2 linked regions of the Canis lupus familiaris genome follow. The protein of the gene in region 1 interacts with the protein of each later gene in a pairwise test. Links are inferred from orthologs where the notes say so. Each region holds a gene or a part of one and is shown on either strand. Other genes may lie near its edges.

Region 1 (3,812 bases):
TCCTGTTTTCCTAATACTATCAGCCCTCTTTAAAAAAAAAAAAAAAAAAAAAGACTTAACCATTCATTTGAGTGAGAGAACAGAGAGAGAACAAGTGCAATGGGATGGGGCAGGAGGAGAGGGAGAGACAGTTCCAAGCACTCCACTAAGCACAGAGCTCAATCCCATGACCCCAAGATTATGACCTGAACCAAAACCAAGAGTCGGATACTCTACTGACTGTGCCACCCAGGCACCCCATCAGCCCGCCCTTTTTTTTTTTTTTTTTTTTTAAGGTTATTGTATGGGACACCTGGGTGGCTTGGTGGTTGAATGTCTCCCTTCAGCCCAGGTCGTGATCCCAGAGTTCCTGGATGGAGTCCCACATCGGGATCCCTGCATGGAGCCTGCTTCTCCCTCTGCCTGTGTCTCTGCCTCTCTCTCTCTCTCTCTGTGTCTCTCATGTATAAATAAATCTTTAAAAAATAAAGATTCTTGTAGCCCTTCCTAAATTAGAACAATTGTATCCCATCAGTGTGGCATCTTCATTTCTACAAATAGAGAGTGACCCACACATAACCAACCTAATACCACAGAAGACACATTTTGAAGTTATCTCATTACAGAAAATTAGAGCATAATAAACTAAATAAGGTTGTTTCTTATGATCACTAGAAAAGCCAAGGCATGGATTCAGATAACCCAAAATAATCTTTGCCCTAAACATTGGCTTAAATGGTCTATGAAGAAAAGCAGAACAATAAAGTATAGCGCTGGTAATCTAAACCAGATGTTTGTAAATGAGCACTGGCAACATCAGTGGGAACCCAGGGCCTCCTGAAAGTGCTTTGGGGTTCCATAAATGTTTCGCTTGCATTCCATTTTCAAAGTTTTCTTATTTAAAAAGCTATGATAATGTCTTTGTCATATTTATTAATGTGTAATGAAAAACAGCATACACACTCAACTGTGTTAAAAACCAAATGTAAACACATCAGTTAAGCTACCAGGCCACCTTGATTGTATGCAGACCTTGGAATAAAGCTTCTCCTGCTAGCTTTTTCCATATATCTCAACTTCTTGTAAACATGTCACTGATTAGGAAGGCTGCAGCTCTACTGAACTTTTTAAAAACTCAGCTTTGCACATGAATGCACATAAAAATTATACCTAGGTATAAAGGTTACCTGTGAAAAACAGAATTTGCTCAATAGTATGCAATTAAAATAAACCATGAAAATAAATAAGCTACTCCTGTGATTACAACACCATTTCTGTAATCCAATTCTAAATTCAAGTCTCAAGGGGCAGCCCGGATTGCTCAGCAGTTTGGCGCCGCCTTCAGCCTAGAGCCTGATCCTGGAGACCCAGGATCAAGTCCCACGTTGGGTTCCTGCATGGAGCCTACTTCTCCCTCTGCCTATGTCTCTGCCTCTGTGTGTGTGTGTGTCTTTCATGAATAAATAAAATCTTTAAAAATAATAAATAAATAAATAAGTAAATAAATAAATAAATAAATTCAAGTCTCAATGCTCCCAATTTAGAAAAAATTTGTACCTTGTTAAACAACTGTATATTAATAAAGTATCATTTATCTATAATTTAAAGATATTCTTAAAAGTTTAATTATTAAAACAGAAAAGATCTGAATAGCCAAGTAATAAATTTACACATTTTGAATATTTTTTCTATACAGTAACAATCAATACGGTCAAATGACTCTAAAATCTCTATGGTCATTGTTTCTACAATGCTACAAATTTTACAGTTTCTTTCATACAGCAATCAAATAAATTCTTTTTAACTTGATTTTGAAATTTAGGAAAGTAAGTATCCTTTGTCAACTGTCTTTTCACTTTCAGCTATTATTCCAATTGCATCCCTTTATATATTGTATTAGGGTTTTTTTGCAGGATGGCATTGCTCTCAAATTTTCAAATTGACAGAAAAGAAAGGGTTATATTTAACTTAAACAATGTCTTTGTCACAGTTATTAAAATACCTGACTCTGGAAAAGCTATACTGCAAAAGATTAAAAAGGAAAATTATATCAAATCACCCATAAATTAATAGTCACCTTTGATAGGGCATTCAGTGGGCCTAAGGCAAGTTGTCTCAAACTTCTCCACTGAAATAACCCATTAAAACACAAAACAACCTTAGAGTCCCATATTTGGACACTACAATATTAAGTAAATCTGGTAAAGAATGCAAAATTATTTTTGTAGTATTTTCTCTTAAAAATGCTTTTATTTTTGTTGGCTAATGCTTTCCCTCTAAAACTGTCTTAGTAAAACTCAAACTCCAGGAAGATGTACCCATGAACTCCCAAGGCTTTGGATGGCTACCTGGCATAACACAGTGGCCACAAACACCCTGGTACCAGAAGAATGGTCCAAAGTTCGATGCATTCTCATGTATTCTCATTTCAGTAATCAGAACACATTTTTCCCCCAGTCTATTCAAGAGCAGCATTTATTCTTCCTTGTATGAATAACTTACATTTTCATGTTTCATATGTTTCAGTAACCGCAGTTCTCTGTAGGTCCTTTTGGCATGAATAATGGACTGAAATGGTCTGGAGAGCTTCTTGACTGCCACACGTAACCCAGTTTTTGTGTCAAAAGCAGCACTAAGGAAAAAAAAGCACATATAAAGAATTCATCAAGGAATGTGCTCTAAATACCTCAAAATTAGTATTTATAAGGAAGGCTATTTTGTTTCCAAGTGAAATTGGTATACAATAAAATACAAAGTATAAAGATTAAAAACTAAAATGACCTATAATCCTGCTATCCAAAGTAACCATCTGTTGTTTTGGGGGGTGTTTCCTTCTCATTTTCTTTTCTAGGTACCTAAATCAGGGGTCAGAAAATTTTTTCCACAAAGGACCAGAGAGTAAAATATTTCAGACTTTGTGAGGCATAGGGTCTTCAGCACAACCACTCAACTCTGTGGTTATAGCCAGAAAGCAGCCAGACAATAAATTTTAAAAATGGATGTAGCTGTGTCCCAGCAAACACAAAAACAAGCGGCCACTTGATTTACAGGAGCCAACAGACCAATATACAAAGACCTGGATTCTGTCTGCCTCAGGCCTATCACCTTGCCACCAAATGTTGATCAGAATGGAGGGCTTGGAATGGTTTCAGGACAATGAGGTGGCACAAAAACTTCTTGAGTGCCTACAAAGTATCTGCCACTCTTCAGAAGCTAAAAATCTAATAAGGAACAAGTCAACAAATCCCTCAGGGGATGGGGGAGAGGGAATGAGCTGAATAATACAATAATTTCAAATAGTGATGAACGCTATCATGAAATAAAACAGAATAATGGGACAAATGAGAGAAAGCCAGTGGGGTTTTGCTTCTTTAGCTAGGATGTCTGAGCAAATAGGTTCAAGCTGACAACTGAATGATGAGAACATAGCAACCATGTAGAGGTATAGGGAAAAAGAGCTTCAAACAGAAGGAAAAAATTGTATTAACATTTATTGAGTCTTTATTGCATACCAGAAGCTGTTCCAGGCCTAACTGTTAATTTTTTTAATTAAAATAAATTTTAATCCCCAACACCCCTATGAAGTAAATGCTATCATTCCCCCACTCAGAAATGAGGAAACCAAAGCACAGACAAGTTAAATAACTTGCCCATAATCACAAGACTTGAAAGTGTCAGGAGGAGGGAATCTGGATCCACAGCTCATGCTATTAACCATTTTGCCATGCCGCCTCTCAGAAGAGCAAGTACAAACAAAGGAAAGAAGAAACAGGTAGAAAAAATATGGCATGCTGGGGGGTGTAAAGATGGCCTGTGTAGGTGGAACACTGGGA
Region 2 (4,605 bases), on another chromosome or scaffold:
GACTGTGCCACCACCACTATACTAGATGTGTAAAAAAAAAAAAATTTTTTTAATGTGGGTAGGGAAGATATGATGAATGCACTTGGTTTAAAAAAAAGGGGGGGGGCAGATAAAGTTGGTATGCTGTGAAAAGTCAGCAGCTGTAACTAACATTTTATGATTCAATGCAAAAAATATGTTGAGTTCCTCAGCTGAGTAAGTAGTATAAACAAAGATTTTTTTTTTTTCTTTTTAAAGATACAGGGAGAGTGTTTCCATTATCTGGAGGACCTTTTTGCAGTCCTTAATGTTCACCTAAAGGTAGAAAACGCCCTTAAGAAAAAGCACTCAGTCCTGAACTTTATTCTAGAATGTAGGCAGAAAGTTTGAGCGTGTCTGAACAGAAGCTAAACAAGGCAAATGCAGAAGTTGCGCTGGTGATACAGTCCCCAACTCAACGACATAGGGTCCTTGAAATCCCCATCCCATCCCCCCTGCCCGCGGAGAGGGGAAGAAACCGCAGAATGTTCCTGACTCTGCACCCTGGCCGGATGGCGCAATATTTATGTTTGTGTACCTAGCACGTCGGCGCCGCCCTCCCCCGCCCTCCCCCGCCCCGGAGGCCCGCCCTCGGACTCGGCGCGCGAGGGGCCGCTCGGGGTCTTCCCAAACGTCAGCCATGGACTCCTAAAGCCACGTAGGACTGGATTTCGAATCCAACCCACATAGATGGCGAGAGTCAGGGCGTGGGGATCGAAGCCCCTGAGGCCAGCGCATAGTAGACATCCACACAGTATTTATGGACTAGAGAGATGGAGCAGCTCAACCGGTCTTTAAGCGAACGTGGCCAGAAACATGCCCGGTGACCCCTGGAGGGCGCTGTCGAGCCACGCCGGGGGAGGGGTGTCGCCTCCTCTAACGCGGAACCCCGCAATCCACGACGGCACCTTCAGCCCCGACATTTGCGACTTCATTCCCCTTACAGACCCGCCTTTCTCGGCTCAAAGTCCTATAGGAACGACATGATTAGGGATCACTTACCCCAGCGGGGTTCGACTGGAAGGCACTTTACTTGTTAAATGTTTCCCTTAAGTAACAGGAGAGCAAGTCTGGGAAACGAGAGAACACTCCCCGGAACCTCACCCCGGCTCACCTCGGTTGTCCTTAATAGGCACATTCCATGGGCAAACTTATTACAGTTTCTCCCACCCTCATCTCAGGTTCCTCTCTGTCCCCCCACCCCCAGCATTGTGACACCGGGTGAAGTAAATCGCTTCTGGGGAACCTGATTTTCCGCGCCTACGCGTGACGAGGAAATGAGCGAAAGGGGGCACACGTGTATGCAAAAGCGCAGGAAGCCCCTTCCCACTCGGGGCGGCGGCGGCGGCGGCGGCGGCGCGGGCGGGGCGGGGGCGGGGGGGGGAGGCCGCGGCCTGCCGCCCCCTCCCCCAGCCAGCCGCTCGGATCCCGGAGGCCAGCTCTTGGCTGGCAGCGCGCCCGCCACCTCTGCTCCCCTTGGGCCCGGAGAGCGGCGCAGGCCGGATCCTCGGAGACCCGGCAGGCGCAGGCCGGACGGCCGGACCGGGGCCCGAGCCAGCCGGCGGCCAGCGGATCCCGCTCCGAGGCCGATGACGTCTTCGCCTCTGGCTCCGCCGGCGCCAAGCCGGGCAGGGCGGGTGACGTCACCGCGGGCCACGTGACCACCATTCAAACAAACAACTCCCCTCCCCCTGCGCGCCCGCCCCGCCCCGCCCCGCCCCCAGAGAGGCCACATATAAACGCGTCCCCCCGGGCCGAGCTCGCTGCGAAGGACGCTGGGCTGTGCGGAGTGTGGCCGGGGCCGGAGGGGCAGTCGGGGGAGCAGCAGAGACGCCGAGGCGGCCGAGGGCCCCGCACGACGCCCCCTCGCGCAGTCTTAGGGCAGTTTGGGGTCCCGCACAGAGAGAAGCAGGGTCGGGCTTTTCCTCGAAAGCCTCTGCCCTGCCCTTGGCTTCCGAGGACAGAGCCCCGCGGACAGTGCGGCACGCTGGGGGCGCTAGGGCCGGCCATGGTCATGGACGTGGGCGCCCTGGACGCCGGAGGCCTGCGGACGCTGCTCCGGGAGCGCGCGGCGCAGTGCCTGCTGCTGGACTGCCGCTCCTTCTTCGCTTTCAACGCGGGCCACATCGCCGGCTCCGTCAACGTGCGCTTCAGCACCATCGTGCGGCGCCGGGCCAAGGGCGCCATGGGCCTGGAGCACATCGTGCCCAACGCCGAGCTGCGCGGCCGCCTGCTGGCCGGCGCCTACCACGCCGTGGTGCTGCTGGACGAGCGCAGCGCCGCCCTGGACGGCGCCAAGCGCGACGGCACCCTGGCCCTGGCCGCGGGCGCGCTCTGCCGCGAGGCGCGCGCCGCGCGAGTCTTCTTCCTCAAAGGTACGCCCCCCGGAGGCGCCCGCGCCCCGCGCCCCGCGCCCCGCGCCGGCCGTCCCCCAGCCCCTGCGGGCCGCTCCGCCTGGAGCGCGCGGGCGCCCGAGCCCTGTTCCGGGGACTTGTCCTGGGCTTTGTTCCGCTTTAAGAACAAAGACTTGCCTGGGCCTCTCCGGGGTAAAACTTGAGCCCGGGTGGGCGGGCGGGGGTGTTGGATGAAGGTGCCCTGTCCCCGAGGATGCTAATGGAAACAACTGTGTCTCTTTGTCTTCCCAGGAGGCTATGAAGCTTTCTCAGCTTCCTGCCCGGAGCTGTGCAGCAAACAGTCGACCCCCATGGGGCTCAGCCTTCCTCTGAGTACTAGCGTCCCTGACAGCACCGAATCCGGGTGCAGTTCTTGCAGCACCCCACTCTATGACCAGGTTAGTAGGGGACCGTGCCAGAGGGGGTAAAGAACAGCTGGAAGAGCGGTGCTAGGGACAATATACAAAGTAACTTGCTGGTTTGTAAGGGACAGGACGCGGGGCTAGTAGTTTATCCCGCGGTTAAGCGGTCTGATGGAGCGGAGTCTAACTGCTGGCACTACAGAAATGAACTTGAGGCAAATGGATTTAGCCCCCTACTTGTTTATGCTCCAACAACAGGGCTGAATTCACCCGGTATCTGAAACTGACTTTTCCAGCAGGGAGTTTTTGTGGGTGTGGGCATTGACTTTGAGCAAAACCTGACCAGTGTTGGATATTTCTGGATTTCAGGGTGGCCCGGTGGAGATCCTCCCCTTTCTGTACCTGGGCAGTGCCTATCATGCTTCCCGCAAAGACATGCTGGACGCCTTGGGCATCACTGCCTTGATCAACGTCTCAGCCAATTGTCCCAATCATTTTGAGGGTCACTACCAGTACAAGAGCATCCCCGTGGAAGACAACCATAAGGCGGACATCAGCTCCTGGTTCAACGAGGCTATTGACTTCATAGGTAAATGGACAGATGCCTGGGACTTCTGCCTTGCTTCCACATTTTAGTCACTGAGCCCAACTCTGTGGCAAGGACTAAAATGACCTCCGCCTGAGCTTTCTCCATACATTCAATAAGTTGGTGCAGGCAGCCGTCCCTGCAAAGTCCCATTTAACAAATTAGCAAACAGGCTCAGAAAGTTTTTTTTTTTTTTTTTTTTTGAGGCTCAGAAAGTTTGAACCGACTTCCCGTCCAGGATCACTTCTGCTTTGTGGAGATGCCTGGTCTTGGTTTAAATCCCATGCTATTTTTTGCACATGCCTTCGTTGCCTCCACAGAGCACTGTGTGCTGGCTTGTGGTTCTCTGGACAGGACACACATAATTCTTAGGCACCCTATGCCTGGGGTTGGGGTTGTACCCCTAAGCTCTTGAGTAACCAGCCACGCTTTGTTTTCCAGACTCCATCAAGAATGCTGGAGGAAGGGTGTTTGTCCACTGCCAGGCAGGCATTTCCCGATCAGCCACCATCTGCCTCGCTTACCTCATGAGGACTAACCGAGTCAAGCTGGATGAGGCCTTTGAGTTTGTGAAGCAGAGAAGAAGCATCATTTCCCCCAACTTCAGCTTCATGGGCCAACTGCTGCAGTTTGAGTCCCAAGTCCTGGCTCCACACTGCTCAGCAGAGGCCGGGAGCCCTGCCATGGCTGTGCTGGACCGCAGCACCTCCACCACTACCGTCTTCAACTTCCCTGTCTCCATCCCCGTCCACTCCACGAACAGTGCGTTGAGCTACCTGCAGAGCCCCATTACGACCTCTCCCAGCTGCTGAAAGGCCACGGGAGGTGATCTCCAACCCCGCTGGGACTCTAGGCTCCTTGAGGAGAAATGCAGTAACTCTGGGGAGGGGCTTCTGAGGGCTGGTCCTTATTTATTTAATTTCACCCCGAGTTCCACTGGGTTCCTAAGCAGTCATAGTGATGATGTAGCATCAAGATGTTTGCTGAACTCAGCACATTTGGGACCAATATATAGTGGGTACATCAAGTCCCTCTGAGAAAAAGGGGCAGAAAAGAAAGGACTCATTGTATGAGCCAGTTTCTTTTTGCTTGCTCCTGTTTTTTGTAGGAACTCTTCATGCTTGACATACCTACCAGTATTATCATTCCTGACGACACATACCTATGAGAATATACCTTATTTATTTTTGTGTAGGTGCTCTGCCTTCACAAATGTCCATGTCTACTTCTAGAAGAACCAAATACC

The links.
Region 2: the proteins of MAPK14 (region 1) and DUSP1 interact in binary tests that used the Homo sapiens proteins (3 or more experiments, as listed by UniProt). The link is inferred for Canis lupus familiaris from reciprocal best matches to the Homo sapiens genes MAPK14 and DUSP1.

Annotation. Positions count from the first base shown.
Region 1 is NC_049233.1:5,351,734-5,355,545, reverse strand, and holds part of MAPK14 (mitogen-activated protein kinase 14), read right to left. Parts: intron 2,612-3,812; coding exon 2,482-2,611; intron 1-2,481. UniProt on the Homo sapiens protein: Serine/threonine kinase which acts as an essential component of the MAP kinase signal transduction pathway.
Region 2 is NC_049225.1:40,472,962-40,477,566, forward strand, and holds the start of DUSP1 (dual specificity protein phosphatase 1), read left to right. Parts: upstream 1-1,779; 5' UTR 1,780-2,026; coding exon 2,027-2,393; intron 2,394-2,663; coding exon 2,664-2,809; intron 2,810-3,142; coding exon 3,143-3,362; intron 3,363-3,800; coding exon 3,801-4,171; 3' UTR 4,172-4,605. UniProt on the Homo sapiens protein: Dual specificity phosphatase that dephosphorylates MAP kinase MAPK1/ERK2 on both 'Thr-183' and 'Tyr-185', regulating its activity during the meiotic cell cycle.